Rhinolophus ferrumequinum: one gene and its partners. The protein of the gene in region 3 purifies or fractionates together with the protein of the main gene of each other region. This does not show direct contact. Links are inferred from orthologs where the notes say so. Each region holds a gene or a part of one and is shown on either strand. Other genes may lie near its edges. The genes, in order: PARD6G, PARD6B and LLGL2.

Region 1 (9,744 bases), on a different chromosome or scaffold from region 3:
GACAATGACTCCCCCCCCCCCAACCCCAAACACACACACACACAGCTATGCCCTGCCTTTGCTGGGGTCTTTTAAAATCTCTTTTTTGGGCGTCTGGATGGCTCAGTTGGTTAAAGCTCAAGCTCTCAACAGCAAGGTTGCTGGTTCAATTCCTGCATAGGATGGTGGGCTGCGCCCCCTGCGACTAAGATTGAAAACGGCAACTGGACTGGGAGCTGAGCTGCGCCCTCCACAACTAGATTGAAGGACAACGACTTGACTTGGAGCTGATGGGCCCCGGAAAAACACACTGTTCCCCAATATTTCCCAATTAAAAAAAAAAACTTAAATCTCTTCTTCCTCAGCCCAGAGCACGGCTCCACTTCTGCCCATGTTCCCTTCCTCTGAGGTCACAACTGACAGTAGCTTCCTGGCTGCTCAGACTGGGCTCTGGGGTGACACTTTCCTTATGGGGGAAGAGCCTGAGCCTCAGACAGGCACAGAGCTGGCTTCTGTCTCCTCCAAGTACCAGCTGTGTGACTTCAAATAAAGACATGGAGAGTCAGTCTCCTCACCTGTCAGGTGGGGATAACGGCTCCCTCTCCGGTGCCTGTGAGGTCAGTGAGGTGATGCAGGTCGGCTCCTGCCCCACACGTGATGGGCCCTCACTCCCCCTCCCTCTCCCCTTCTTAGTCCTTTCTCTACCTCCATGGGCTGGAAGGATCAAGAGTTTAGCAAACAGTCTTCTTGTGGCAGAATAAGTTCTCCTGTTGTTGTCCACACAGTCACAGTCCCCTGATTGCTGACTCTGGCACCTGTGCCAGCTTCATCCTCAGGGCGGTGCTCAGCACAGCCCCTCCCTGGTCTTCTGAGCTGAGGTGAAACCATGATCGCATTGGTTGTGTATGTGCTGTGACAGGCAGTGTGCTGAGTGCTTTGGGTGGCTGTATTCTCTCCTATTTTACTGTAGTTTTCTAAAACCACTTTATGGAGGTACGGTTGACAGAAAAACTGTACAAAATTAACATATGCAACTTGATGATTTTGAAGATCAGTGTACACCTGTGAAACCATCACCAGGATCTATGCCATAAACGTGTCCATCACCTCCACACGTTTCCTCCCAGTCTTCATATTTATTTTTTATTAGTGCTGTCATCATCACTTGTGTGTGGTAAGAACACTCACCATAAGATCTATCCTCTTAGCAAATCTCAAGTGTACAAAAGAATATTGTTCACTAAAGGCATCATGCTATACAGTAGCTGTTTGGAATTTATTAATTGTGCATAACTGGAACTTTCTACCCCAAACACCACAGTGCACTTTACCAGCAACACCAACACCAAGCCTGCTAGCACTAAAGCTGGCAGCTCCGTGCCCAGGCTTCTCAGACCCTGCTCCACGACACGGAGGGGAAGAGGTGGTGTGCTGGGGGGCCGCTCTGAGCCCATGGAAGTTAGGGAGCTAACGAAAGCCTCCCTTCCTGACTTCTGAGCCCAAGGCTCCAGGTCACCCACCAAGAGTGGACAACAAGGTCCTTATACTTGACCAAGCTCGAGTGTAGGTGGGCTGGGATCCTGAGTGTCTCCTGGAGGCCAGCATGGACACAGGCCCAGGTCTCTGACCCTTGGCACTGCTGACTGACATCCTTGTGGTGGGGGCTGTTGTACGGTTAGCAGCATCCATGGCTTCCACCGCCCACTGGCACATCCTCCAGACACTGCCAAGTGCCCGTGGGAATGGAGGGTAAGATTGTTCTGTTTAGGAACCCCTGCTCTTATCCTGCTGCACAGATTTGGGCTCTGGCCAGCCCTTGCGCTGCCCAGGCAAACAGGACTTACCTCCTAGCCAGGCCACTGGGTGTGGGGGGCGCTGGAGTCTCTTCCTCTCCTCTCCATCACTGTCTCCTCTCTGTCACATCTCCTCTCTGTCACGTCTCCTCTCCGTCATGTCTCCTGTCCATCACAGTCCCCTGTCCGTCATGTCTCCTCTCTATCAGAAATGTCATCAACAAGATCTGCTGATTCAGCAACTCACATAAGGTTGACATTTCTTCTCTCTTATTCAGGTCATGAAAACAATATCTCGGTTTCATTATTAAATCCCCCTATTCTTTACGAAGAAAATGCAGTTAGTCCCCATGTACCTAGAACTTTGAGATTTTAAAGCTACTGCTGCTTCCATTTAAGACTCTGACAATTGTAAGGGCTTTGGGGAAAACACATCTTCTTGGGTCTATAACATGTTTCCTTTTTTTTCCCCATTTATTTATTGGGGTAACAATTGTTAGTAAAATTACATAGATTTCAGGTGTACAATTCTGTATTACATCACATGTTTCCTTTTTGATCCCGGGGGGCTCAGGCACCACTTCTGGATGGACTAATTGAAGACAAAGATTTGAAGAGGATTAGGCCCATTCCCCTCCTATTTCCTCTCTGTGTCGGAGCCTGCTGCAGGCCCTGTGTAGTGGTGACTGCGCAGCTCTGCAACCGGGACGCAGTGCAGGGACGCCTCTGGCTGCTGTGCTAGTTCACCTCAGGGCAGGGCACTCACTCCTGGCACCCTCCCTGGGAGGGCACCGCCTGCCCCCCCATCCCCCTTCAAACACTGGGAACTGGCAGAGCACTGTAACGACTTCCAAGTGGGGCCACAGCTGCTGTGTCTTTCGGTTGCCAGGCTGTAGCCCTGAGACAGGCAAGGGAAGCCCTGCGGTGCCTGTTTACCAATAAATACTGAGGTCAGTGAGGGGACGGACCCGTCCAAATGCCTCGTGGGATGCCTGCAGAACTCACAGAGGCCATACAACCCCTCTGGTGAGTCTCCACATTTACTTCACTTGAATCTGAAACCTCACGGAGGCGGCTGGCTCCAGCAATCAGCACGTGACTGGGTGAGTGCGCACCACCTGGAGCCCGCCCATGGGGACTCACGGCTGTGTGAGGACCGGTAGAGAGCTTTTCAGTCATGTGGCTGGACTGTGAAGAAGCTTTTCCAGCTGAAGGCTCAGCTCAGCCAGTTGTTTTTGTCTATATACGACCCACCCACAGGCTTGAAGCCCTAAAGAATCCAGTTCAAGTCTTGGCTGGAAACTCAGGCTCCACCTGCACACGGTCGACTTTCCCAGGCTTTCCTGCTGCTGATCAAGCTGATCAAGAACTGACGGGGCGGCAGATAACAGGAAAAGGAGCAACCTGCCCAGGAACAACCCAGGGTCATGTTCAGGTGTAGAATCAACTTCAGGGGCTTGGGGGGGGCCCTGACGAGTGCAAGGTGGAGCCCACGTTGGTTGCTGGGCCTTGGACACACTGTGCCATGAACGTGGCAGAAACGATCTCATTCCGTCAAGCCTGGAATTCTGTTCTCTCTAGCTTTCCCTCCCACTCTTCAAGCCCTGAGCTTGCTGGTAGGTGCACCCCCACCCTAGAATTATGTTGGTTTCCCCTCCGCCCCTCAGCCCACCTGGAACATGCCCCCACGCCTCTCCGACCCACACAGGACAAGGATGTCCACTGTCGGCCATCACTAATACCCTGGGACTCTTCTCAGGGCCTCATTCTGTTCAGGAAATGGCCTTTTGAGAGAAACTCAGCTCTGGACACAGCTTGCTCGCTCTCAGCTTGCCCAGTGGGTATCTCTCGGACATGTTCTGATTCTGCCTGGAATTTACTAAATTTTGTATAGATAATTAATACACCAGGTCATTCCTAGCTTTCAGACCAGTGGACATGCTGAACCTTCCGTCTGGAATAGTTTTCCTGCCTCTGTGGGAATCTCTCGACAGTTTTGTTTGCTTGCTTACTTCACATGTGCCTTGTTTGGGAAGTCTGTCTGCATGTCTGGCCCCCAGCCCAGCAGGGTGTTTCTCCTGAGGGCACCTGACTGCTGTGACCGCATCCTGCACTTAAGGGGACATTTAGTGACATGAAGTGAAAATTAAATTTTGGTAATGCAATTGGGCAATCTGTACTAAAGGGCTTAGAGATATGCATACTTTGTGGCCTAGTAATTCCACTTTTAGTTAGGAGTCCAGTCTAATGAAATCATGAGAAATAAATGAATTCAAGAAACACAGTATTATATAAAAGCTAATCATTGGAAACATTTTAAATATCCAATAATGGAATGGTTGAAAAGCATGCCTGTGTTCATATACGCAATTTTTGAAAACCATATTTTCTAAAATCGCTTAATGAAAATGTTCTTTACATGAGTTAAAAAGAGCAGGCTGCCAAACTGATTAAACAGCATGATTTTGTAAAATATGTAAATACTTATGCAGAAGAATAAACATAAAATGTACTAAAATGTTAATACAATTGAATGCTGAGTAGTGTGACTATAGGTAGTTTAACTTTTTTATTTCATTTCTTTGTATTCTCCGGATTTCTTTTACAATGAATTTATAGTACATTTATAATTATAAATTGCAATTATTTATAGTATACTTTCTCTGAGATAATAAGTAACAACTGATGCCATCTATCGCGGAGCATGCGCTTTTCCTAGGAGCCTGGGCAGAAGTCTTCCTTCTCAGAAGACAGGCCGAGAGGGGCTCTGACCCTCTCCTTACCCCTATTACTTTGACCTGTGCCTTAGGAGTCTGCCTCCTGCAGAACTTCGCCCAGACCACCGAGCGCCTGGAAGCCAGTACACACAGGTGTGGTTCCCCTGTCATCCAAAAATCGGCCCAAAGCAGCCTCCTTAACGGCCGTGCTGGGGTAGCGGGGCGAGTACTGGAGAGAGAGAGCGGGCACGGCGGTGGGAATGAGGTGCCCTGGGTCGGGTGGGCGATGCTTGTTTTCCAGGCTCAGGATTGCACCGACAACAGCGCGCACCTACCACTGGCGGCAGCCTGGGGGCGGGTCCTCGGAGGCGGGGCGGAGCGCGTCCTTGGGGCGCGGCGCAGAAGGGGCGGATCCTCGGGGTTGCGGGGCGGGCACAAGGGGGAGAGTCCTCGGGGCGCGGGGCGGGGTTTGGAGGAGGGTCCTCGGGGCGCCGGGAGAGGGGTTCCTAGGCGCCGGTCCTTGGGGCTCGTGTTGCGGGTGCTCGAGGGCAGGTACTCGTGGGGCGGATCCTTGAGGCGCGGGGCGGGTCCTCTGGGGGCGGGTGCTCGGTGCGCAGGGCGGGGATTGGCGGCGGCTTCTCGGGGCGGCGCGCGCCGGCGTCCCCCGCTCCTCTCGCGCGCGGCCGCTGAAGTCCCCGAGGCGCGCGGCCAGCCCAGCTCGGGCCGCCGCACTCCGAGCAGCCCCGCGGCCGGGGAGCGCGGGCCGGGGCCGAGGCCGCGGCGGGGGGCGCCGCCCCCAGCGTCTTTCTGCAGTCCCTAGAGCGGGGGGCGAGGGCAAAGACGGGGTGAGCGGGGCCGGAACCATGAACCGGAGTTTCCACAAGTCTCAGACCCTGCGCTTCTACGACTGCAGCGCGGTGGAAGTCAAGAGCAAGGTGAGCCGGGGCTGGCGGTCTGCGCCCCCTGCGAATGAATGGGCGCCCCGCGGGGCTCGGGGCGGTGCGGGGGCGACCGGCGTCCGCGACAAGTTAGGCGCGCGGGCGCCATCTGGGAGATGCAGGGTCCGGACGTCTTTCCCGCCCCTCTGCGGACACAAAGCCCGCAACCTGGTGAGGCCAAGGCACCCGGAGGGCCAGAGCCATCGGCCTGGCCGCGCGGGTTTCGGACCCTCAGCGGGAGCAGCTCTTTTGTTCCACGAGCGGGAAGCGCCCGGCAAGCCGCACGGTGGCGGGGCTTCGGGGGCCCGGGACGGGGGAGGGCTCTGACCGCGTTGCCTCCCCTGCGGAGAAGCGTCGGAACCCGCGAGGGGAAGACCGCAGCCGGCCCCCGGCGCGCCCCAGGCCCAGCCTCCCCGGGCGCGCTGGGCCGACGGCTCCTCCCGCTGCCGGCGCCCGGCCCGAGCGTGCCCGAACTTGCGGGCAGCTGTGCGCGTTTGGGTGACTGGCTGATAGGATCTGGCGCTTCTGCTCTTTGCGGGGGCGGCTCCTTCGCCCCAGACGCTTTTGTCTGCAGGGGTCTCTGTGGGGTACCCCACGGGTAGATAAAAAGCTGCAGTTGTTTGGGTCCTGGAGAGGGGGGCCCTTCGGGCCTTCGGCTGACTGCTGCTTGGAGCCGGCCCTCCCTTTCTCTCTGCGCCCCCTGCTCGCGGTAAAACAAGGCGGAGCAGCCGAAGTGCTGGGAGGGCGGGGCCGGAGGGTGGGCTCTGATCCCACCTGCGCGCATCCTGGAGGCGCGGAGACGGTGTATGTACCCTGATGTGTCTCTGGGGAGATGAGTGCAGCGGCCCCCGTACCTGCGCTGCCCTTTCCGGCAAGGCGGGGTGGGGGGTGGGGTAGGGGGCCTCTGCTGTAGGACTTCCAAGGCATCCGCCGGGTGTGTGTGTGTGTGTGTGTGTGTGTGTGTGTATATGTATGTGTGTATGTGTGTGTCAGTGTCGGGCGGGGGATCGAAGCTGCAGTGAGTTGCAGGATTTCATTCTTATCTTCACTCTCACGGATTTTTTATGAACCCCTAGTTTCTAGTACGGTCACACCGTTCCCCCAGTGCTAATTCTGTGACCCTCGCCCCCGCTTTAGCCCGGGAGTGCCCCACCCCCCAAATCACATGGGCCTGCTGAGTCGTGTGGGAGAAGAACCGCCAGGCATGAGTGGGAGTCCTAAATAATTGTCTGTTTCTTTAGCTCTGTGGGAATGTGGCTTTTTAGAGCTCCTTGTCCACTACAATAGCCACTGAGCACGTGCGGTGACTAACTTTTACACTTTTTACAAATTTCAAGATCATACATTCCCAGACAGTTGTGGGAAAAAATAGAGAGACTCCTCAAAGGTGACATCAGTGTCAGACCCAGGACCTTAGTGGACGTGTTGGCATGTGCTGAGGTCACCACTTTTGTCGCATGCACATTCCTGCAACCACCAGCACTGTTGAGAGACGAGCGCTTCTGTCACAGTGGCCACCTGATTCCAGCATGCGCTCAGTTGTTGTAGCCACATTCCCGCTGCAGTGCAGCTGCCTGACCAGACACACAACTCCAGGGGTAAAGATGGAGGAGACGCCCCTCCCAGGCCTTATCGGGCAGCTCTGGACGGATGGCCCCATGCAGGCCGCTGGGGGCTGGAGAGTAAGCCTGTCTTTGCCTCTCCTTGGGGTCTGGGGGCTGTCGGTGTGCTGGTGGCCCAGTGGGGTGTCTCAGGACGCCCTGATCCTGGCATCAAGTTCATTTGCTGTGAATGCTCCCCTGGAGGTTGAGTAGCTGAGCCAGAGTTTTAGTTGAATTTGGGACCACCCCTGCAAGGGCCACACCGTCCCGGGCTTGCTAGGCTGCTTGGTTCTACAGCCCCTGCCCCTTTTGGAGGATGGGCTTGCCTTAGTAGCTATCCAGAGGGTCCACATGGCTCTTCCCTTGGTAACACCCTTCCCTGGAAACCTGTAATAGCTAATATTTGCTCCCATGCAGTCCATCTCTGCAGGGATCCTTTACTTCTGTTGTCAAAATACAGGATGCAAAACTTTACAACAATGATGTGTTTGTTTAACCTAAGTGTAGCTCCATAACACATTGGTTTGCATGTAGGGAAATGGTGCTAGGGGGCTGAGTCCAGATGGTTCTGCTACCCCTACCCTTGTGAGCTTTCAGGCAACTTTTCATTTAGCTTTTCCGAGCCTCGGTTATTCATCTGTGAAATGGGCATCTATCTGTTCTGCTCCCTCCCAAGACCAGATGGGATGATGGGTGTGAAAGTGTGCAGCACCTACAGTCATAGAAGTGACTCACCTGTGTGTGTCCGCTACAGGTGGCTCAGGGCTCTGCTGCATTTCAGAGCAGTGGGTCTGAAAATCACCTCTGATTCTCCCAGAATGTTTGGTGTCAGCCATCTGACAGCTGGTCAGTTCCAAAAAAGCCTTGGGGACATTATCTTGACCTAGTTTCTCTCTGCCATCATGTCACTTCTTACACTTCCCCAAACGTTTCTGCCTTACTTGCTGCGATCCCAATTCTGACATTAGGGCCACCATTTCCCCATTTACTTTGACTTCAGCCTCTGCTCCGGGAGACCTGCAGTAGGAGGGAGGGGCTGTGCAGATGTCTGGGGAGCGTGTTTCAGACCAAAGGGAGCCAGTCTTGGCCCACCAGAGGGTGGAAGGAAAGCCAGTGCTGGGGGAGGGTCTGCAGGGGTGGAATAACTAGGGACGACTTGTCATTTAAGGAGAAGATAGAAAGTGACACATTGCCCCTGAGAATTTGGCCGGCCTTTAGCTACATGAGTGGCTGGTCAACCTCACCAGCGTCTGCGCGGCCTGAAAGCTACAGGGACGCAGTCCTCTCATCTCAGCAGTGTGCTCCACCCGGACCCGCCCTCTGCTTCAGGCCGGGGGTTCAGTCCCACACAGGTCTCATCCACGGTCCCTTGCTGACCCCAAAATGCTTTGTCTAAGAGTTTTCCCGTCCTGCCGACCCTCTCCTGCAAAGCCCACCCATGCCTTCCCCAGGCCAGCTTCCTCTGTCCTCTGACCCTGTTTCTATGTTTCCCTCATCTTAGGGCTCTTGTCACAGTGCTGGCACAGGATTATTTTTCAGAGCAGGGACCCAGGACCGTGTTTACACTCACAGGGTTTGTGGCTATTGTGTTTGGGGGAGAATAGCACTAATAGAAGGTTTTAATGTAGGTTTTGCTGCTTTGTTTAAATAACATTGGAGGCTTGTTTGGATTCTAAACAAATACATTGTCCTTTGGAGAAGTATTAGAAACCATTTCAGGAGCAAAGGGAGGTAATTCTCCTGTCCAAAGGTGAGCCACTGTGCAGGGCCGCCCCGTGTCCTCTGCACCCTTTTCATGCTCTCGTCTTTGTTTTACAGAAACAGGGTCAGATATAGTAGGCGTGTTATTCTGTGGCCCTCATTCCCCCTTCAACTCAACAGTGTAGTGCAAACAGTGTAGTTTTCTTCTGTTGTAAATATTTTTAGAAAACATATTTTTAAAATGACTACATAGTATTCCATCTTACGTGTAAACCGTAATGAATTTAACCAATATCCCATTTGGGTTATTTCCAATTTTCTCTATAATAAACAATGCTGTGAGTAACATCATTATATTTAACTCTTTATATAAATATACAAAGTATATAAAGAATACCGATTCTATTAATGCAGTGCAGAGCTCTGACGTCTTTAGCACACATTCCTAGACGTGAAATTACTGGGTGAACAGTATGCGTGTTTTTCAGGCTTGGAATACACGTGACTGAATCTTCTTACAGAAAATCTCTCCTCCTGGTTTGTACGCCCCATCCCGCACCTGTGCCCCCATCTCTCACCTCCCTCCAGCACTAGTTTTCCGCTTCTTTCCCAATCAGATCAGTGAAACGCAAATCAAGTGTCCCTTGATTTGTACTCGTGTCTAGGTGAATTGAACGTTTTCATGTCTGTTTCTTCCTTGCCCCCATCCTTCTGTTTGTGTTCTTGTTTCTTCTGCATTCACGGAGCTGCTTGTCCAGTCGGTGCAGGTGCTGGTAAGTCCGTGTGTCCCCCGTCCCAAGTCTTGTCTCTGGCTGAGGCTGCTGGCTGCCTGGACACGCCCTCTGTCAGGTGGGGTGGCTGCGCCCTTGCCTTCCGTGGGCGGGTTGAGAACTGCCTGACACAGTTTGACTCACCTGTGTGTGTCAGCTACACCCTTTTAAGGTCCCGGTTTTCTTGTATCTGTGCGTGTCTGTGTTCAAACAGGTTCGGTGACTATATTTGGGAAGTTGTACCC
Region 2 (10,581 bases), on a different chromosome or scaffold from region 3:
GAACAAAACAGACAAACAAAAACAGAAACAAACTCATAGATACAGAGAACATTTCGATGGTTGCCAGATGGGTAGGGGATTTGGGGTGGGAGGGTGAAAAGGGGGAAAGGATTAAGAAGTACAAATTGGATGTTACACAGTAGTCACGGGGATGTAGGGTATAGCATAAGGAATATAGTTAATAATATGGTATTATAATAACTATGTATAGTGCCAGGTGAGTACTAGACTAGTCAGGGGGATCACTACTTAAATTATATAAATGTCTAACCACTATGCTGTACACCTGAAATTAATATAAAATAATAGTGAATGTCAACTGTAATTGAAAATTTTAAAAAGGTGGGGGAAGTTGAAGGGGAATAAGAGGTTCAAATCTCCAGGTATAAAACAAATAAGTCATGGGGATGTAATGTACAGCATGGGGAATATAGTCAATAAATTTGTGATAACATGGTACGGGGTCAGACGGTTGCTGGACTACTCATGGTGATCATTTCTTTAGGTGTATAAATGTTGAATAACTATTGTGTACCCCTGAAACTAATATAATGTTGTATGCTAGCTATATTCTAATAAAAGTCTTTTTTAAAGTAATTAGTAATAACGACAATAAAAGGTACACTTATGGAGTCCTGACCCTATGCTGGACCCTATCCTAAGTGCTTTGTACATGAATTGAGACAATTAATTATCTTATTATCCTCATTTTACAGATGCAGAAACCAAGGCTCAGAAAAGTTAAAAACTTGCCCGAGGTCATCCAGCTAAGAAAAGTCACAGGCAGGATTTGAATGTAGGCATCTGGCTCGAATCATATTCCCAACGACTACTCTAGGCTGCCTCTTGTCCTCTCTAACTAAAGTATGTCCATTAAAAGGTTGCTCTGTGTGAAAACAAAACGAAGGGTTTATTATACATTTATTTCTGTATTGTTTCAACGAACTGTTTTCCAAGGCTTTCATAAGCAATATTATTTGCTAAATGATAACCACGAGTATTTGCACCACTCTTGATGGTTTCATGCAGTTTCTCATCTGATCCCAGCAACAATGTGATGAGCTGGGCACTGCCATTTCCTTTTACAGAGGAAGAATCAGAGGCTCTGAGCAGTTAAGAGGGCAGGATCAAGGTCACTCAGCCAGCAAAGGAGCAGAGCAAGGGCTCAAATTAACACCTCTCACTTTTAAAAAAACTTAAGATCATATGTAAAGCTCTTTCATGCTGCTACTTAAAAGTACATAAGATAATCCTTGGAGAAGCTTCGTACAGTTCCTGGCACCTGGTAGGACCCTCATAGATGTTAGTTATCATCTTCACCAACACCTCCTAGGAACTGGAGTATTTTAGCTGATGACTGCAGCCTGTCTGTCGACCCTGAAGGAAAGATTACCCTTTTCATTCCCGTTCACCCCTGATATTGTTGAAATAATGATCAATCTCCATTATCCCCCGGGTACCGTAGAATGTTGAGAGCTGGAAGGGATTGTGGAGATGATCTCATTTCCGTGCCTGCATTTACAGACGGAGAAATTGAGTCCCGGAAAGGAAAAAGGTCAGAAAGCAAACTCTTCAAGGGCAGGGCTTATGCACAGTGCCTGGCACATACTGCTTCCCACAAAGATGGTTTTTACCTGAAAGGGCACCTTGCTTCTTAAAGCCTACAGGAGATAATCCATTGGTTTCTGGAGCTGTGAGCACCCCCACCCCGCCCCCACACTAAGTACTCAAGTGTTAGAAGCTCTTAACCAGAAAACAGATCATGTGACTTAATTCCATCTCTGCTAAAGAGCTTAAAATGCTTTGGTGAGTAGTCTGAGATTCATAAATATACACTTCAACTCTTTCTGAAAGAATTATTAACCAGCTCCATCAAAACTGGAACTTGAGCAATCAAGGAGAAAAAGAGCTGGCAAGAGAAACTTCTTGAAAAAAAAATCTCACCACCATTATATATGACTTCTTGCCACCTTTTTTTTTTCCCTAAGAGTTGGAGGAAGAAGGAAAGAAAAAAGTATAATTATGCATGACATGAATCAATAAAACGAATTGTGGAAAATTACAAACTCTTTTCACCCCACCAAGAGAGAGAGGTTTCAGACGAATGCAACAGTGTGTTCTGTCGCAGAAGAACTTAAAGACAGAATGTAGTGAATAGGAGGATAAAGCAGAAATGTAACCCTCACTAGCTTCTTTCAGAGGGTGGAGATGGCCTGGAGAGATTTGACAGCGTGTGGGTGTAATAATCAGTGGTAGCCAGTTCCCAACTAATGATTTTGGGGAACCTATCATTTTATAGAGTGCGTGTCACACACTCACCTTACTTATCTCCCTAACTCACTGAGTATGAATTCTCGCAGGCATGGGACTAGCTTTTCATGCCACACGTGCAGTCTTGATCAGCTTTAGCTTGAGGATTTGGGGGTGGGGAGGGATGATGGAGAGAAATGAGATTAGGATTCAGCCTTCAAACCAAAGGAACTGGAATATAAACCCGGCTTTATGCTTTTCTCTGGGCTTCATGCTTCTCAAGAAAGGTTGAAATTCAGGCCCTGCGAACAAACTTGTGGCCAGAACAGTTCTCAGAATGAAAGGGTGCCCCTCCTCCACAGCACCTTTATCAAATTCAAACTATTTTGCACATTCCTTCTTCACACAGCCCAGGCTGCACTTGTGAAGCAGGCCTCAGAGCAAATTCCACTTAGGAGATCCAGGAAGCTCTGGCCTGGCCCTCCCTTCTTCTAGAAAGGAAAGTCCAAGTAAAGAGAGATGCCACACCCGGGGGAGGGCAGAGAGGATATGACAACACCTCCAGGAATGCAGGGCCCACGCAGGTGTGTTGGCACCCACGAACTTCCTTTTTAAAAGGGCCTGATAAATCAGTACTGATAATAGTAATAAAGCTCAGCCACTCAACAATCGCTCACACAAAACTGGGGCCCTCACTCCCAGGGTGTGACCCTGGTAACTGGGGAGAGGAGAGTGACAGCTGAGAATAGAGATCCTTCAAGGTTGTGACTCTTTCTAACCAGCGTGGGGTCCCTGGGACCTTCTTAGGGGATTCTCAAAGTCACAGCTATTTTCACAATACGAAGATGTCACTTGCTCTTCTCACCTTCCTTGCCTCACAGGTTTACAATGGAGTTTTCTAGAAGGGACAAGACATCTGATGATATCATCGCCCTGCTGACTACTGGAATGTGTGCTTGTGTTTTAAACATTTCTCAGTGTTAATTCTAATATGATGAATATTGAAAGACACAACACACAGAAACAAAATACTTGGGGTCTTTCCATAATTTTTAAGCATATTAAGGGGGTCTTGAGACCAAACCATCATGCTGACCCCATCACAGGACCACACTTCATTCCCAGCTCAGCTTGAGTCACATATGAGGCATGATAAAAAAAATATGGTGAAAAGATATGGTTACATTTTAAAAAATGTATTACAGTAAAAGACACATCGCCATTAATACCCCTCAAAATACTCCCCCTCGCTTCAAAGACATCTCATCGTGGTTGCCACTTGCTGAAGCAGTTCTGGAAGTCCTCTTTTGTGTCTTTCCTTCATCCTCCATCATGACAATGCTCTGTGTCACACATCACTTCTGGTACAACACTTTCTGTCAAATAAAAACATTACGCTGTGTCCTCGTTCACCTCATTCACTGGATCTGGCATCGTGGCATCTGGCTCCTCACCAAAGTAAAAATGACCGTGAAAAGTTAACATTTTTAATTGATTCAGGACATCGAGGCAGCCGCGACAGCACAACTAAAGACACTCACGAAAGAGGACGTCCAGAACTGCTTCAGAAAGTGGCAAGAATGATGGGTGTGTTTGAAGCGAGGGAGAGTATTTTGAGAGGGATTAATGTCAATATGTCTTTTACTGTAATACATTTTTTTAAACAATCACCAATTTTTTTATCACTCCTCATAGTAGGTGCTTTTGAACAGGTGGTGGAGAAGGCAGCCTTATTATTATTCACCTTGGGATGGTATCCTTTCCATCTGTAGCCATGCAAAAGGGCCAGAAAACCTTAAATTCTCCCACGAGCATTTGATAACTTGAACCCCTTAGGGGGAAAGTGGGGCAAAGTTAGCATGGAGAAACCACACTCCTTCAGCTCCAGCACCCAGCGAAGACACATCTGAGTACCTGCCTGGAGTGAGGTACCATGCTACATGCCTGGCCGTGAGCAAAGCAGATGTATTCCCTGCCTTCTAGAGCTTTCATTCTAGGGCCGAGGTGGATTACTCACAGAAAAACATGGGAAAACTGGAACTTGTTACAGGTGTTGGGAAGGTGTGCGAAGTGTGTTAGGAGGGGTTTGAGATGAGGGGAGGAAGGCCCTACGGACTCAGGTGGAATGACGCCCCCTAAACAGCTCTTCTCTGCCATCTCGGCTTAGAAACCCCACCCGCAGGCCCAGGCCCAGCTCACAGGGGTGTTCAACAGCTCTTTGCTGAGCAGTAGACCCACGGTGAGAAGTCCCTTCTGCAGGTGAGTGGGGGGACTTACGGGGGTCTCCTTCTCACCTTCCCAACAGGACCAATGCTAAACAGGGTCCTTGTGAGGAGAACCCGGCTCTGGGGCATTTAGAGAGAAGGGTTCAGTCCTTTGTTATCTGGGACACAGTTTCGTCACTGGTGAACACAATCCAGAGGCTGTCAGTGATGGAAACCGCAAATGGCCAAGAAATGACTGGAGGAAGGGAGAGGAAGACTTTAGAAATTAAAAATAAACAAAAAAGGAGTAAAGGAAGCCCTGGACCAGGGCCGGTCTAGGAGAAATCCTCAGGGAGGCAGGGCCGGCGAGGAACCATCGGACCTCAGCCCACTTTCCCTCCCTCCAGGCGCCTACTCTACCGCTTGGGACCTGACGGACTGCAGAGTCTCTACCGACAAAACCAAGCCAGAAGAGCCCTGAGGTTAGGTTTTCAGTAACTGTTGTAGAAGTGGGAAAACTTGAATTTTGCAAACAGAGTCTCAGCCTGACACCTAAACGATGCAAATGGGTGGCGGATGGGCGTTGTTTCAGGCGGCAGCGTCCCAAAGTGGAAGCCGAGAGGAGGACAGCGGAATCCAGCACATCCACGAAGCCTCGGCAACGCGATCCGCCGCGCGCTCCAACCCCCAAAGCCGGGTTGGAGCCGCAGACGGGAGCGGGGCAACCAGCCGCGCGCCTGCGCGTGCGCTAAAGGCTCACCCGCTCCCGCTCATCTTCAGGTGCGCTCGCGCTTCCGGCCGGCCTTCCCGGGGCGGAAACCCCAGAGCCCGCGCATGCGCTTTCCAGCTCTCCTGCTCGGTCACAGAGGCCCACAGCTTCAGGTGATCCCGCCCCTCCCTCTCAGCGAGAGACCAATCGCGCGGTGGTGGGCGGGAATTTCTAGGAGGCGGCCCGCCCAAGGTCTGTGCGAGACGGGTGTCGATTGGTTGGCGCCTCAGGCGCAGGTGCGCGCTTCCTATTGGGTGTGGGCGGAGCGCGAGCCGCCGAGACTTCCACGGAGGCTGCAGGTGAGCGCGCGCACGCGCCGCGGCTCCCGCCCGCCCCGGGTGCGCGCGCGCGCGGGCTCGCGGGGGAGGCGGCCGAGAGCGAGGCTGCGGCGCCTGTCGCCTCTGCTCCGCCCCCTCCGCCTCCTCCTCCGCCGTCGCGGCAGCCGCCGAGGCCCGGAGGGAGAGTCACGTCCCCGCCCGCCGCTTCGCCAGTCGGACCCTCAGTGTCGCCCTGTGAGGAGTCAGCCGAGCGGATCTCTGCGCGGACACCCGAGCCGCTGCCGCCCCTCTGCAGGTGCCTGTGAGGAGGCCCCCGGGCCGCTGCCGCGTCCGGAGCCCGCCGGCCGCGCACTCGCTCCCCGCGCTCCCGGGGGTCGGCCCGGCTGGAGGAGGCCGCCGCGGGGCCCGGCCTCAGCATGAACCGCAGCCACCGGCACGGGGCGGGCAGCGGCTGCCTGGGCACCATGGAGGTGAAGAGCAAGGTGCGCGGGGCCCGGGCTGGGCGGAGCGGCCGTCCGATGGGGGCCGGGGCCCGGGGGAGGCACGGGGGCGGCCTGAGGAGCTGCCCCGGAGCCTGGGACGGTGGAGGCGCGGTAGTGGGATTTGGAGGCAGGAGACGGTGGATAATAAACTTGCTGAGAAGGGAGGGGAGAAAGGTGGGGGCCTTGTGTCTGCTCCTGGCCCAGGTAGGAAAAAGACCAGTGGAGCATTTTATCTGGTTCTTTAAATCTCATTGCTGTTCAAGGATGGGAGTAGGGGCCAAGATACAACCGAGGCGTTTGAGCGCAGCGTGGTGTCTAAAGGTTTGGGGGAATTCTTCCTCCTGGCCTGTGAGTAAAAGGTGTTTGGAACACCCGCGATCACAACATTACCCCTTTCTGTGGTTCAGGGGTTCATCGAGTGGTGAACGAGAGAGAAAGAACCCAGTGAACCAAAGAGCCCTTTGGAAGTTAGCTTTGCTTCCTGCTAGGGGTTTTCCTAGCGCTAACTTTGGTATGCATTTAATCTATGAAATTAGCACTATCACCTTTCGTTGGAGGAGCACTTTACAGTTTGAGTCTCGATGCTCTTTTCATTCCATCATGCTACCTTTTCACATCAAGTGTTTTCACTCTTGACCAGCGGTATGCCAATCTGCTGATAATAAACGTCGGTAGCCACTGAATTCCTAAATTGCAGGAGTAGAGTAGTCTATAGGGATTAGTGAGGGAATGCTCTCCAAAGGAGGTGTTGAGCTGGAATTTGAAGGTGATCTGCAGCCACGTTTTCAGCAAGATTTTCATGAATTGAAGGGCCAAAAGGAGCTTAGATAATCTAGTCTAATTCTCTGAGAACACAGAATATGACTTCCCCAAGCTCTGCTTTGAAGACAAAACCTTAAAGCCGTTTTACAGAGGAACTTTTAGGCTTTCTAGAATACAAAAGAGGACACTGGCTGGGCCCTGAGAACATTTAAAATAAGAGTTGGGAAGACCAAAGTACATAAAAGCATAGGAGAAAAGCAAAAGCATACCAACTTCAAAAATAATGAAATCAGTGAATGTAAGACGACTAAGAATGCAAAATCAAGGAGTGATTTTGAGTGAAGTGGGTAAGGAAAGCTCCCTGGAGCCTGTGGGTGGAATGGTGTTTATTATCTAGAGTTGATAAGCAAAGTTCTGTAAGTTGTTATAACTGAGATCATCACATCAAGAATATCAACATTCATTTTTTTAACATCACTTTAAAATGTTATCTGTGACTTAACTTGTATCAGGGTAGGCCCGAGTTTCAGAAACCATTCTGTTTAATAAGAATAGAAATGTAATTAGAGCAATAATTTAAGGGATGCTAAGGAATATGCTCTTCCTTGCGTCCTCCATTGACCTGCCAAAACAAATTGAAGTGACAGTACTTGAACTAAGGGTTAAGATGACTCAAAATAGAGCTTTTCCTCCAATGGTTGAACCTGCTCATGGCATTTCTGTTACAAATCTAGTTTGGTTTTGTGGGAGTTGAGGTTAAGAAAAGAAAAACATTTATGATATTGCATGATCTTAAAATTCAGTCTGTGGTCCTAATCTTGGTAGCAAGTCAGTAATTTTTTTAATCATAGGGGAAAATGAGTAGGAATTCTAGGTGCACTGATAAATACAACCAAATAGTAATTTATCTCTCAGACTAGGAAACCTTGAGCACTTGGGGACTGGAATTTCAGGCTTTCTGCCCTTCTGTCAACTGACTTATGAATCTTTCCCATACTTAGTCTAAACTATATGTTAAATATTTGACCTGCGATGCTGTACTGTTAGTGAACCATCTCTCTTAAATAGAATCAAGGCATTCTGAGAACCTGCAGGGAACGAAGTGTCATCCCACTATTGTTCTAGCTGGCGATGAATCTGCACAGTATAGATACTCTTTCTAGTGTGTCTGTGACACCTTGTGTTTCAGATATGTATTGTGATACATTTATTTTTTAATGGCACTTGTCATTTTTACCATTTAAAAATATTTGGATAGATGTTTGTAACAATATTTCCTTTTTTATTGCTTTAGTGATATCACAGCTTTTTACAAAACTGATCACTACATAAGAGGTTAGGGTGTAACCACAACTAGGTGATATGCAAATCCACATTTCAGGATCTCTTTCTTCTGCATAGAAAAGAGTCAACTTTATTATCTTTGCTCCTGGAAGGGCAAAATGATATAAATAAATTAATGGATAATGCAAATGTAGCTATAGTTAAATTGTGATACCAGGTACCCTGTGACTTTTCTTTGGTAACTTATTTATCTTCCTGTTGCTACAGAGTTGGGAAAGTTCTTAATCAATGATCAAGGTGGTGTCCTTTAATAACCTTGGAACAGCCTTTGAGCTGTACATTTCCTAATTATTATTCATGGACAAGCAGAATTTTAAAATTAAGTTTGCATTTCTAGAATGTACCAACAGAAGATAGGAGGGGATGTTTATTCACATCCTGGGTGGCCAGGAAAAAGTAGATCAGGCTAAAAAAGTTGTAAATGGTTCCCATAGTGAATAGTTCTTGATTAGTCTTAATTTTATCTCTATTTTAGTATTTTTCTTCATGTAGTAAACAGTTCTCTTAATCCTATTGTTTTGATGCAAGAAGCATAACAATTTCTCTCTTTGTTTTTCCTGCTAACATTTGCAAAAGGGCACATCTACTGAATCCATACAGTTTTCTATTGTTTTTTATCATAACATTTAAGCAAGAGAAAAAAATGTTTTCATCCAAAAGAATTTTCATCCAAAAGCTTTGGGAAAAACATTGAAGCCCTAAATTGTTTATTAGGTGTTACTCTCATTGGTGTATCAGGGGAGGTGATAAACCCTGGGATGAATCAGACAGCACTAAGAACTTTAAGTTGTGATATCAGAATGAAGAAAATGGAGGAGAAACTATGACTTTTGATAACATCATAAGGCTCACTGATATGAAGGGTGTGCCTGAGTTTTTATTTACTTTGAAATGAGAAGGTGTGACTAAACTTTTTGAGAGTTTTAGGTATGAGTCACTTTATTTTCTTGACAAATATTAATGTTTATGATTCAGGAATGTATTTTGGAAACTTTTAATTATTTATTAGAGGTAAGAGGTAGTTTTAGTGAATTTTTATTTTAATTTAAAACTGGTGAGTAGCATGGATATAAGCAAGGCCGATGAACTTACAGACAAAGCTGTGACACTAGATATCCCATAGGGTCCTTGGGAAAATGAATTGACACATTTGTAACCTCAAATTATTCTGATAGGGACTTTCTCTGCATGATGCTTAAGGTTGTCTTAGTGGTGCTGATAATAGATATTTAGAGGGAAAATGAGTTCAGTGGCCAAACACAGCAAACATTTGTCTAAAAAAAAAAAATTTTTTTTTTTTTTATTAATCAACCACAGGAGTTAACTGAGCTTTTAATGTGTGGTCTCCACTGATTCCTAAGAGTGTGATTATAGTTACGTAGCATTTCCCAAACGTGGCTGGTACGCGTTTTTGAGGCAGGTTGAGTAACCTTTCGTAGGTTTCCACATTGGGGGAAATGCCATGCTAGACCCGAAGTAAGTCAGATAGATCCTGTTTATTACAGACTAGGTGAAGCCAGCCCTTAGTGTTGAATAAGAGCCACTTTAATAATTTAACATTTGGAGAGCAGAATTGTGATTCTGGAGTAGGGAAGCAGACCTCAGAAGCAGAATTGGGAAGATAAATATTGGTACTCCCTGTTTGTGTGATCCCTTAATACCTCTCTGATGTAATTTTTCTCTTTATCCACTAATTGGTGAACTCGTGTATGCCTCAGCCTTTCAATCTCTAGGGTCTAGCGCGGTGCCAAGCACATAAACACTTCTTGCATTAATTGGATAGTTGTAGGATATATATTTGATGTATTAAAGCTTTTTTACAGTATTAACATAGGGAAGATGCATCTTATCTCTAGACCTATTTCTTACATGATATACTTCCATTTGTGTCATACCTTAAATGCCAAGAAGTTCAGAGTTTTTTGTATATGTTTCTGTTACTTCTTGCCACTTCCTGTGAAATCGTAATTTCTTTTATGGGGGAAGAAACTTAGATGCTTTTTGCTAACAGTCGAAATAAAGACTTGGGCACATCTTGTGACCCTGTGGCCTGAGTGAGGAGAGCACTGCTGTCAAGATTCAAGCCCTAGACAGGGTTTGAGCTGAGTCACTCACTGTGCAGGACAGTCCCCAGGGAGGCCTGGCTACCCCAGGGGTTGAGTGGAGCCTGCATCTCTTGAAGGGGCGCCCTTCAGAGACGAGGCAGTGAGAAGGCACATTTCTGTGCCTTTCTTAACGCTGTTTTATCGCCAGGGAATGAGGTTTCTGGCAGGAGACTGTCACTGGAGCTGTCGTCTTCATTAAGGGAAATGATATGCCTCTTAATTTTTCGATGGCATGCATTTTAAAATTCGGTCCTGTTACTTTTTTTTTTAATTGATGTGTTTATTATATTTATAGTTTGGAGCAGAATTTCGTCGGTTTTCACTGGAAAGATCAAAACCTGGAAAGTTTGAGGAGTTTTATGGATTACTGCAACATGTTCATAAGAT
Region 3 (10,170 bases):
GGGTGGGACCCCCTGGGTGGGACCACTGGGTCGGCAGCCAGAGCCTGCCCTCGCCCTCCCTGGCTGGATCCAGGTGAGCTGCCACCCCCACCTCCCCACCACCCATTCTAAGGAGCCCTAGGCCAGTCTCACAACCCCGGGAGGGTGTTCCCAGGGGGGCCCTCCCACCGCACCTGAGCCTCCTCCTACAGGGTTTCCCCGCTCAGCCTGGCTGAGAGGATGGGTGCCAAGTGAGAACACATGCAACACCACCCCCGTCACCCTTCTACGGGCCTTAGTCCCCTTCTTAATCCAACATCACACTCTCTCCAGGGAAGGGGTGGCTTGGATGTGGCCAAGCACAAGGAAAAGCAAAGCCATTGTGGGGACAAAGTGGACAACCTCCGTGGGGTGGGTGTGGGTAGGCCGCCTGCTCCTCCTGTCAGGCCCATTCCACAGCCTCCCACTGGCTTCGAAACTTGAACTGTTGTCCTAAGAGTTTCTAGAAGATGTCAGTTCCAGGAGAAAGGGGCTGAGCCTGTCCTGCCCATGATTGTATCCCCAGTGCTTAGTGCCCTGACACCTGGGAGACACTCAAATTGTATTTAGAGAACTTCCTCACCCCTGCGAGTCTGGGCTGGGGTGTGACCTTGTCGAGGCCTGCCCTGACCCCCTTTTAAAGCTGCAAGCTGCCTCCACCACGGGGGTCCTACCCCCTGCTTTAGTTGGTACTCTGTAGCTCATATCGCCTTTTAAGATGTTATTCCTTACCCGTATTTTCTGTACTCACGCTCCCCACCCTTTAGCATGAGAATCCTGTGATGACAGAGATCTTTGCTTTGTGTGAGGATTATGCCTGGTGTCTGAGCCACGCCACACACACAGAGGCACCAGTAAATACTTGTTGAGTGAATGAATGAACAGGTAGGGTTGAATGGGGATCAACCAGACTAAGGTCTTCTCCAGTTGGGAGCCACCAACCCCAGAGAACACTGGGTTGGGTCACCAGAGGGTCCCTCAGGGAACTTCTCCATCCTGCTCTTAAATCTCTGGCCAAGGCCATGGCCATGTGGACATCATGCCTGGCTTCCTGCTGGGGATACCTTTGTGGGCCCTGCCTCCGTCCAAGGCTCCAGGACACCCAGCTCCTCGGCAAAAAGAACCCAACAATATCATTAGCTACAAGAGTCAAACAGTTCTGTGCCCAGAGGTCCCTTTCATCAAACCCTGGGAACACTGAGTCAGGTATTTCGAGAGAAGGCTCCGGTCACTGCTGAATTCCTGAAGGGTAGAGTCAGGTCACTAGCAGCTTCCCTGTCCCCACGCCCAGAGGAGCCTCTCCTAGTTCAAGAATTCACTGTGGTTCCTGGGAAGAGGAAGGAGTGGAGTGACTCTTCAAAGGACCAGCTTCCTCTGGGAGGCAGGGTGGGGAGGGAAGGTCACCTCAAAGGAAGCTGGGCAAAGCCTCTTGGTGACAGGGCACAGGACGGAGGGTCTCCTGGGGAGGAGGGGCTGGAGAAGGGCTAGCAGAACCAGAGGCCCCAGTGGGGATGCCCTTCTCCTGCCCCTTACCCCACTTGTCCCTGCAAACTGCTCCTGGGCAAGGGAAGACAAATCTGCCACCCAGACCTGGCATGCCTTGACCCAGGAGGAACCCTGAGGGTGGTGTTGCCTGAGTGAGATAAGAAGGCCTCTCCAAGCTGACTACTCTGGATGAGGGCGTCCCAGAGGCCAGTGCTGCTCAAAGCAGCCAGCCCAGGAGCAGGGACCACCAGCCTCCCCACCCCCACTCAGGTGTCTCAGGAGCTACCTCTGACACATCTGGAAGGACCAGTAAGGCTGAGGAAGCCTTCAGGAAACCCGACATTACTCCTGGAGACTCCTGCCCAGGAATGGTCAATGTCTCCAGTGGGGTAGACAGGGGGTCACAGACTGACTGTAAAGGCTCCGAACTTTCCAGCTCCATGCATCACTTTCTCCTAGGGAGAGGGTCCTGGGGCCGAGAAGTCCTTCCCTAAATAAGGTTGAAAGAAAGCACTATGGAGTTCTCAGAAAATCTCCTAATGACAAGGAGCAGCGCAGGAATGTGCTCCCTCCCCCCATCCCCCAACAGGGTGCAGAATGTGTACAGTCAAGCCCTCCCCTGAGCAGAAAGCAGAACGGATTACATCGCCCCCGCCCCCAAAAGACCCTCAGCTGGGGTCTGGCCATCAGGCTTCACTCCTGGCTCTCCCAAGGAGCAGAATTACCAAGGGCCACTGGAACACAAGGTGAGGTTAAGAGAAGCCACTGCCCTTTACCTCTGTTCCTCTATTCCCATCCTCATTTTAAAAGTTCTGACCTCCAGAGGCTCTCAGAAATCATGACCCTCTCAGTTGGTTTCTGGACAGAGAAGCCCGATTCCCTCACAATCCATCAGGCATGTTCAAAAGGCCCAGACGTCTGCCCAAAGGCCCATAAGTGACCACGCTTGCTTTTTATGCTCTGCAGGGATGCTGAGAAGCAACCCCTCACCTGGTTCCAGCATGTGCCAAGCCACATGTGTTTGTAACATTTTTCATCTTGTCAACATTAGTGAAAAATAAGGCTGGCTGAGGCTTGGTAAGGTTAAGTGACTGAGCCAAGGTCGCAAGAAGAAAAATTGATCAGACACAATTCAAAAGTATACCTGAGAATCGAAGGACACTAAAACACTTAATGAACACTATGTCTGAGGAAAGACTGTGAGGCAAGAGGGAGAAGTTTTTCCCACTTATTTTATACTTTCTAAAAGGTCTCATCCCCCCAAACACTGTCCAGTGGTCCCCATTGAGACTGGCCCAGTCTAACTTCGGAAAAGAGGAGCCAGTCCTGGTCACAGCCCCCAGAGCCAGGTTTGAGTCCTGACTGCCATAGTGGACACTGTGCACAGATCAATTAAGGAAACAAAATCTGGATTCTCTGTCCATAAAATAAGAAAGTTGGACCATCTCGGAGGACCCTTTCTGGACTTCAGTTCACACAGACGCAACCTGTCTTCCTTAAAAGCATCTTCTGACCGTGGCTTTCCCTGTGCTGGGCCACAGCTCTTCTGTACTGCAGCTCTGTTCTTCCCACCTGGGGGTTTCCTGTCTCCCACATACACTCATTCCCTCTCAGCTCACTTCCTTGTTCAGAATCCCCTCTGCACCCTTGAGTTGTAAACTCTGCAGAGGACCCCTAGAGCCCAAGTTAAGACGCACTGCGTCTGGCTCAGGGATCCCCATGGAAGGGGCCTGAGTCTAAGCCCCACCCACCTCACCTGTCTCAGGTGAAAGCTTCAGGGGGTCACACAGGGCTCTCCTGGTTAGTCAGTTCTCCCCCAAGCCAAAGCTCAATGTGTCTACGAACGATCCAGCCGGAGCAAACCTTGAGCAAACTTTGCACACTTCCTTTGGCAAGGCAGAATTTTCCACTCCTAGCCAAGTCCCAACGTTCCACAGTGCAACCCCACCTCTGTCGTTGTGGAAAACAGACTAGGTCTCCGTACTGTCCCCTAGAGGTACCCAAAGCCGCCCGAGGCAGAGAAAGGCCCTAAGTCCCTCCCGCGGGCTTCCTGCGTCCGCGGATTACGAGACACAAAGGGCCGGTAGGAAGAGGGCCCAGATGGCAGGGACAGGGGCTAAGCCGCCGACGTAACACTCGCCGGCCGCCGCTGCCGGAGAGAGGACCATTGGAAACGCGCGTCGCCGGCCTCCCCCGCCAGGCACCTTGCACGTGGTGGGTCCCGGGGCCCGGGGACTCCGTCTCTGCTCGTGGTGACCCTCGCACCCAGCCGGGTGGGGCACCTGTTTCCCCACTCCCCAAAGCCAACACTACAGTGCAAACCCGAAACCTAAATTCTGTAATCGCGGGCGGATGAGGCAGAGAAAAGTTCCCAGTGGCACTTTCTACAGGTGTCTTTCTCCTAAACCGGCGGAGCGACTGGATCCAGGATAAGGCGGGCGGACCTGGGCGCAGCCCTCCGAGCCCCGCCCGGGGTCCCGGCCCTCCCCTGCCTCCCCACCCCAAGTGGCTGGTGCCCCGAGGGGGCGGGCCCGGATAGGTGGGCCCCGGCCCGCGCCTCACCTGGAACCCCAGGCCGGCCCCCGCCGAGGCCTCCGACTCCCTCGGCGCCAGCCGCTGGCTCTGCTCACTCCGCCGCCGGCCCACGGGTTGCTGGGCGGCCGTCTCCTTCCTGCTCACCTCCAGCGCGGCGAGCAGGAGGCGGAGCCGCCACTATTTACATAAAGGGCGAGCCGGCAAGGCCCGCAGAACCCCGAGCGCGGGGCCCCAGCGGCCCGGCCCCGCCTCAGTTCCGCCCCCCGCAGCCCTGCGCCGACGGGGCGTGAGCGCCCCCGCGGGGCGGGGACCGCCGTCCGGACCAATCCGCGGCCCCAGGCAGCTTGGGGCGGGGCCTAGGCCTGCGAGAATATGCACGAGGCGCTGCCGCCCCGCCCCCGGCCTCACCTGCGCGTACCTGGTCGGAGAACGGCTCGCCGCACCCAGTGTCCCGCCGCCTCCCGGAGGAAGAAATAGTTCCCGGAACTCGCCACGGCCCCGGGCCACCTCCAGGTCCGACTGCCCAGAGGAGCCGTCCCTCCACAACCCGGCCCGGAGCTGCTGAGGGCGGGGCATACCCCGGCCGGCTCTTCCTGAGAGCGCCCAATCCAATCAGAGGGTGACCAGCGGACACAGGACCAGGTTTCGAGACCTAAGAGCGAGGTGGCGTGGGGACTGGGGCGTCGCCGCGAGGCGCCTCCCCTCGAGGCGGGCCCCAAGCCTGGAACCCGCTTCTCCTAGTCCCTGCAGAGGTAGGCAGACGCCCGAGGCCCCGAGGGACACCAACAGCAACCAGAGTTTTTAGCACGAGGGAGGGGGTTAGAGCGACCAGAGGCGGGAGCGGAAGGGGCGCGGAGTCCAGGCCTGGGGCGCGAACGGCGCGCTCCCCCGCACAGCTCGCAGCGACTATGGCGCCTCTCAGCTGCCCTACCCAGATCCGCTGCCTTCAGGGAAGGGCTGCTGGACCGCTGGCCTCCCTCCGAGGACCCCTTTCAGAAAGCCAAGCTGACCAGAGGTCTGTGACTTCCCATCACCTCCGACGCAGGCCCCAGAAAGGTGCGGGGTTGTGTCCTGCCCTCCTGCGGGCTTCTTTTAGCTTTTGCACCGGAGAAAGCAGTGTTCTCTGAGGGTGGGCAAAGCAGGGGTGAGGTCCTGGGCGCCAGTTCCACCGACAACGGGTTGGGGGGGGTCTGCGCCCCCATATTGGGGCTGGGGGGCTTCTCCAGTATATCCAGCCACGGCAGAAAAGGGATCTATTTTTTAATGGCTTTGGCTTTATCGCATGAAGCAGGCACCTTCTCCTTTAAAGGCACAGAGTCCTCTCTTCTGGCCCACCGCGCTGGGTCTCTAAAATCTAGTGCTGAATTCCAAGGGGATCACTGCAAGGCGTCAGTCTTAGGCCGGGGGCTCTGAAGCGCTGCAACAGCCAAGTGTGTGTGTGTGGGGGGGGGGGGGCGGGGGCTCAACTTTGCTCTTCTGCAAGCATCAGACACCCAGGACCAAGGCCCAGACTAGCCCCTGCAGCTGCAGGGTGTAGGAGGCAGCTGAGATGGGCCCTGAAAGTAGACAGTCCAGGTCCCCAGCCCCCCCACCCCTTCCAACAGGCCCCAGGTCCTGCCAGAGCTGCACAGTCAGTGTTCCAAATCCCTGGGCAGTGTGAAGTCCCTGAAGCTGTAGAAGGAAATGTCGCCGTGATCCACCAGGGCAAAGATCAGAGGAACGTCCCCACTCTGGTAGGACAACTGCTTGAGAGTGCGGAGGTCTGGGACTGGCTCATCAAATCTGCAGGGACAAAGGTTAGACTGAGACCTGGACATCGCCTAACCCCAGGCTTTGCGACCCCAGCCCTCTGTGGCTCCCAGGGAAGGGAGACTGAGACAGGAGTTGGGAGTGCAAGAAGTCTGGCCCCTGGACTCTCCTGTCTGCAAACTGCATGGCTCTGATAAGTTCAAGAGAGACCCAGAGCCCTGGCTGAGTAAGGGGGCTAGGAAGAGTCAGGTTCTCCAAATGAGCCCAGAACAGGAGAGAGGCTACCTGCAAATGCCAGGAATGGGGCTGAGGACTGGGAAGCTTGGGTTCCACAGCACTAACTGGCTGTGTGGCCTCTTGTGGGTCACATAATCTCTCTGGGCCTCTGGATCCTCTCAGGGACTGACAATCTGTCGGGTGCTGTGAGGCCGTCCACTTGGTTCACATAACTGGCAGCAGCCTGGGGGCAGTGCTCGCTGGTCTCGTACCCACTAATGCACATCCGGGCATAGGGCTTGCCAGGGTTCTTCTTTTGGAACGTGGCCACAGCATCGGCCTGGTAAACATCAAAGCTGATTTCCAAGCCCCCAGACTTCTCCAGCAGCCTGAGGACAGAGTGAGAAACCTTAGGGAACTCTCCTGCTCCACCTTTTCTTTCCACGCCACCCTTTCCCTCTCCCCATTCCAGGAAGCAGCCTGTTCAGGGAAACTGAGGTCCTGCTGTGAGGTGTCGCTTGATGTGCAGGGGAGGCTCAGCTGCCCTGCTCAGAACCCTGGGGGGAAATCCACGCACTCCTCCCTCTCCCCTGGACACACATATTAGCCACGGTAGGGGTCCCTGGAACGACCCCTCAGCTTATACCCAACTTCAAATCCCAGCTGCCAACTCCTACTGGCAGCCAAAGTACTGTGGAGATGGGCACCACCTAGAAACTCACCGGGCACCTCCATCAGCAAGGTGTGTCGTCTGCAGCACCGAGATATGCTGAAGGGCTGCGGCTACAAGGACAGTGAAAACAAAGCGTTGGGGAGGGGAGTCCGTCATCTGTACTCCCTTGACATTCTCAGTTTGCCATCGTTAGGGGTCCCAGATTTAACAGCTTTTTGTTAGTATAGAGATTTACCATGTTGTTTATCCGTAACGTAACTGATCTGGGAGCCCTCGTCCAGTTCCTTATAATCTCCCATGTTCCCATAAGGGCTGGAAGTACTTCTGAATCTGTTACTGTCATTCTTGCTCTATTAGTCCCCTGTCCTTAACATGCAGGGCACACAGCAAGCTTTCCTTTTATTTGGTCTACGGATCACCTCCTTGTTCCCCTAACAGACTGGAGAGAACAGGGAGCACAGCAAGTTGGTGGCAGAGCTATCCCCACCCATCTGGTGTATGACATTAAGTAAGGATTTGTTCGGAGTTTTCATTGCTTTCCTGTCCTTTCCTTGGGCACTGACTCGCCATCTGTAAACCTTCCCACATGGGTCCTTTTGTCGCTTCCCAGGAAAACAGATTGCCCTGGTGGGTAATCCATGGGACAGCTCTCTCCTTCCCCATCTTTCTTAAGCTTTAATCGGTCTTGGGCAATCCGTGCCCCTTTCAAAGTCTTGTGATTCCTTAGCTGCCAGTGGCCTGTGGGGCTATGGCAGAGTGAGAGGGTACCTGGGGAGTCTGCCTGGCTGGGACTCAACAAGGGGGTGACAGTCTGGTCCCACAGGTGTGGGGGGCGGCTCTGGGTCTTCTGCAGGTGCCGCTTCTGCAGCAGCTGCTTGTACTCCCACCAGGTGGAGCAGCGCTGCACCTGGGCATCTGCATTTATGTCCTCCCAGAAGTGCTGGGCCTCTGCCTGTTGCTCCCGTTCCCGTCTGGAGAGCTTCTCCTTCCGCTGGTTCAGCTTCTGGCACCAGGACTCAGCATCTGTCTCCCGCCCTGCCACATTGGCCGGGAGCAGCTCTGGGGCTGGGGCAAGCAGGAGGGTGTGGCGGCCATCTGAAGCCAGGTTGGGGAAGGAGATCTGCTCAAAGTTCCAGCGTGGCTTACAAACCCCCTTGACCCCATTCTCTACTTTGCCGCTCTCCTGGCTGCACCCCACCCCCTCCCTGGCCATGCTGGGCTCTAGGGACCCAAGAAGCTGAAAGGGACCCGTTGGGCCCTCTATGGGGCTTGACTCCTGGGGTTTCTCCTCAGGGCATCGGATGTTCTGGTTGCTGGAAGGTGGGATGGAGGTTGCCAGGCTCTCAGGTGTCCCATCCACCCCCTGCAGGGGGTTCTCCAGGGCCTTGGGCTTCTTATTAATGGACCTGAGGGACATGGGGAGGAAATGCAGCACATCTGCTCCTGGCTAGTGAGGTGCATATGTCCTGTGGGTGCACTTCTGCCTCCTTGAGCCCTCAAGGGAGCTCCCCACGCCCAGCTCCTAAGCCTATGCTTTCTCCAAGGTCCCAAACACCAGCTCTGCCCCCCACAACTCCCTGGGGCGTGGCCAAGTGGGGAGCATTACCGAGAGCTGGAGCTCCTCTTCCTCTTGCCATTCCGATCCTCCAAGCACTGGGCCCTGCCGTCCAAGTTCAGCTGCCTCTCGTAAGGGGACAGGACGGAGCTGTGGGGTGAGAATGGGGCAAACAACAGATCCAGCTGCTCAGCCTGGTGCTCCTGGTGGGGTTTGTGAGGGGCTGGCCCAGCGGGCAAGTCAGTGGGCCAGGATCAGCCACACCCAAGGGCTAAGGCACCAGGCAGACCTGCCCACGGGGTACATCGGGACGGCCACAGGGGCCTGCCCATGCATCTCTGCCCAGGCCTCTGTGTGGCACCTGTGAACTGAGCTCCCTGGAAGCAGGGCTCCTGCAGAGCCAGAAGCAAATGATTCAACACTGGTGAGAAATATCAAGGACCAGAAAATGTAGAAAATAAAAATGAAAATAAAAACCCATGGATACCACTGTAACATTTTTGTTTCTTATAAACACCACAGTTTCTCTCCATATTTGGTTTTTCTAACAAGAATGACATACTGCTTTGTAGTCTTCTTGTTTTAGTTAATAATATATTATGGACATGGCGCCTTATCACTATAGCAGTCCTCCCCTGCCATGACTTTTTTTATGGCCCAAAGGCTGCACTGTCTGATGTGGCAGCCACTAGACAAGGAATTACTGAAGTTAAATCTATTAAAATAAAAATGAGAAACTCAGCTGTACAAGCCACATAGGAGTACACTGGACAGCTTAGACGTAGGACATTGTCATCACCACAGAAAGTTCTATTGGACAGTGCTGCTCGAAGGGACAAGCTAATTTGTGTGACTATGCCCTCCCTGTTGGACTCATAGTATGTTTCCAAGTTCACTGTTTTGTGTAAGCTCCCCACTAAACGCAAGTTATGTGGGGTAGTGATTTTGTTCTCTGCTGTTCCTCAGCAACAAGCACAGAGCCTGGCACCCAGTAAGTAATCAACAAATACTGTTGAATGAATGAACATTGTCACAGGTAAACGTATGCACACATCTATGACTATTCCCTTAGGATATATTCTACTTTCAGAAATTAAAGCTCTGTCCTAGAGCTTTGGTGACATCCTGGAAACTGCAAAGGCTGTACCTGTTTCCACTCCAAGTTTGAATGTCTCTGTGGCTCCGGGCAATGTTGGATTACTAAGGTGATGACCTTCAGAGGCCCCAGAAGGAAAGAACATCTGACCTCGCCAAAGGGATGTGAAACCCTACCAACTGTTAATTCCTTCACTCCTGCCTGCATTCGACAAATCTGCTGGCTCACTAAGTGCCTGGCCCTGTTGCGGTGCATTTCCATGCTCACAGTTAGCTGTGGGTGCTCAATCGTTATCTACGGAGTGAACAGGCTGAAGACGGGCCTCACTCTGATGACCCAGGAGAAGCTGAAATGACCCGATTGTCCCAACATGCCTCTCGGTAGATCATTTCCAGCAAAGGCCCACGGCCCGTGTCCTGAAAGCTGCAACTCCAGCCAAGGGCTCCAGGTTAGCAGAGGCCACTTTCCACTTTGGGGCTAGTCACCCAGATGCCAGGATGGGAACAAATGGGAGAGAAATAGGATAGGGATTTACCTTGGCTGGAATCGTCGAACCACATAGCCCAGTCTTTTCAGGTGGCTGAAGACCTCCAAAGAAAAAAAAAAAGGTCATACGTCCACTTGTGAAAACACGAAATAGTTTCTCAGGAAGAGAAGCCATTCCCCACACTCTTATTAATAAATGCCTTTCAGACTAAGGTCTCAGTATGGATTCCTGTCTCTTGCTTACCTTATTTTGGGCAGAAATGACATATAGCAGTTTCTTGATTTAAATGCAAATCCCAAAAAGCTGATAGCTGACGGGCCAGGAAAAGAACTATGTCCTAAAATATTTGGATACCA

The links.
Region 1: the proteins of LLGL2 (region 3) and PARD6G purify together in Homo sapiens (affinity purification with mass spectrometry; 4 studies listed by BioGRID and IntAct, counting the BioPlex papers as one, with this or other methods). This does not show direct contact. The link is inferred for Rhinolophus ferrumequinum from reciprocal best matches to the Homo sapiens genes LLGL2 and PARD6G.
Region 2: the proteins of LLGL2 (region 3) and PARD6B purify together in Homo sapiens (affinity purification with mass spectrometry; 7 studies listed by BioGRID and IntAct, counting the BioPlex papers as one, with this or other methods). This does not show direct contact. The link is inferred for Rhinolophus ferrumequinum from reciprocal best matches to the Homo sapiens genes LLGL2 and PARD6B.

Annotation. Positions count from the first base shown.
Region 1 is NC_046302.1:60,466,742-60,476,485, reverse strand, and holds the start of PARD6G (partitioning defective 6 homolog gamma), read left to right. Parts: upstream 1-5,224; 5' UTR 5,225-5,352; coding exon 5,353-5,424; intron 5,425-9,744. UniProt on the Homo sapiens protein: Adapter protein involved in asymmetrical cell division and cell polarization processes. May play a role in the formation of epithelial tight junctions. The PARD6-PARD3 complex links GTP-bound Rho small GTPases to atypical protein kinase C proteins.
Region 2 is NC_046306.1:8,979,449-8,990,029, reverse strand, and holds the start of PARD6B (partitioning defective 6 homolog beta), read left to right. Parts: upstream 1-5,588; 5' UTR 5,589-5,917; coding exon 5,918-5,983; intron 5,984-10,489; coding exon 10,490-10,581. UniProt on the Homo sapiens protein: Adapter protein involved in asymmetrical cell division and cell polarization processes. Probably involved in formation of epithelial tight junctions.
Region 3 is NC_046304.1:50,462,585-50,472,754, reverse strand, and holds the start of LLGL2 (LLGL scribble cell polarity complex component 2), read right to left. Parts: upstream 4,582-10,170; 5' UTR 4,457-4,581; exon of another isoform or gene 4,447-4,456; intron 4,283-4,446; exon of another isoform or gene 4,066-4,282; intron 1-4,065. Other genes in the region: TSEN54 (tRNA-splicing endonuclease subunit Sen54), read right to left, coding at 5,670-5,820, 6,276-6,392, 6,726-6,786, 7,445-8,082, 8,283-8,381, 9,863-9,915. UniProt on the Homo sapiens protein: Part of a complex with GPSM2/LGN, PRKCI/aPKC and PARD6B/Par-6, which may ensure the correct organization and orientation of bipolar spindles for normal cell division.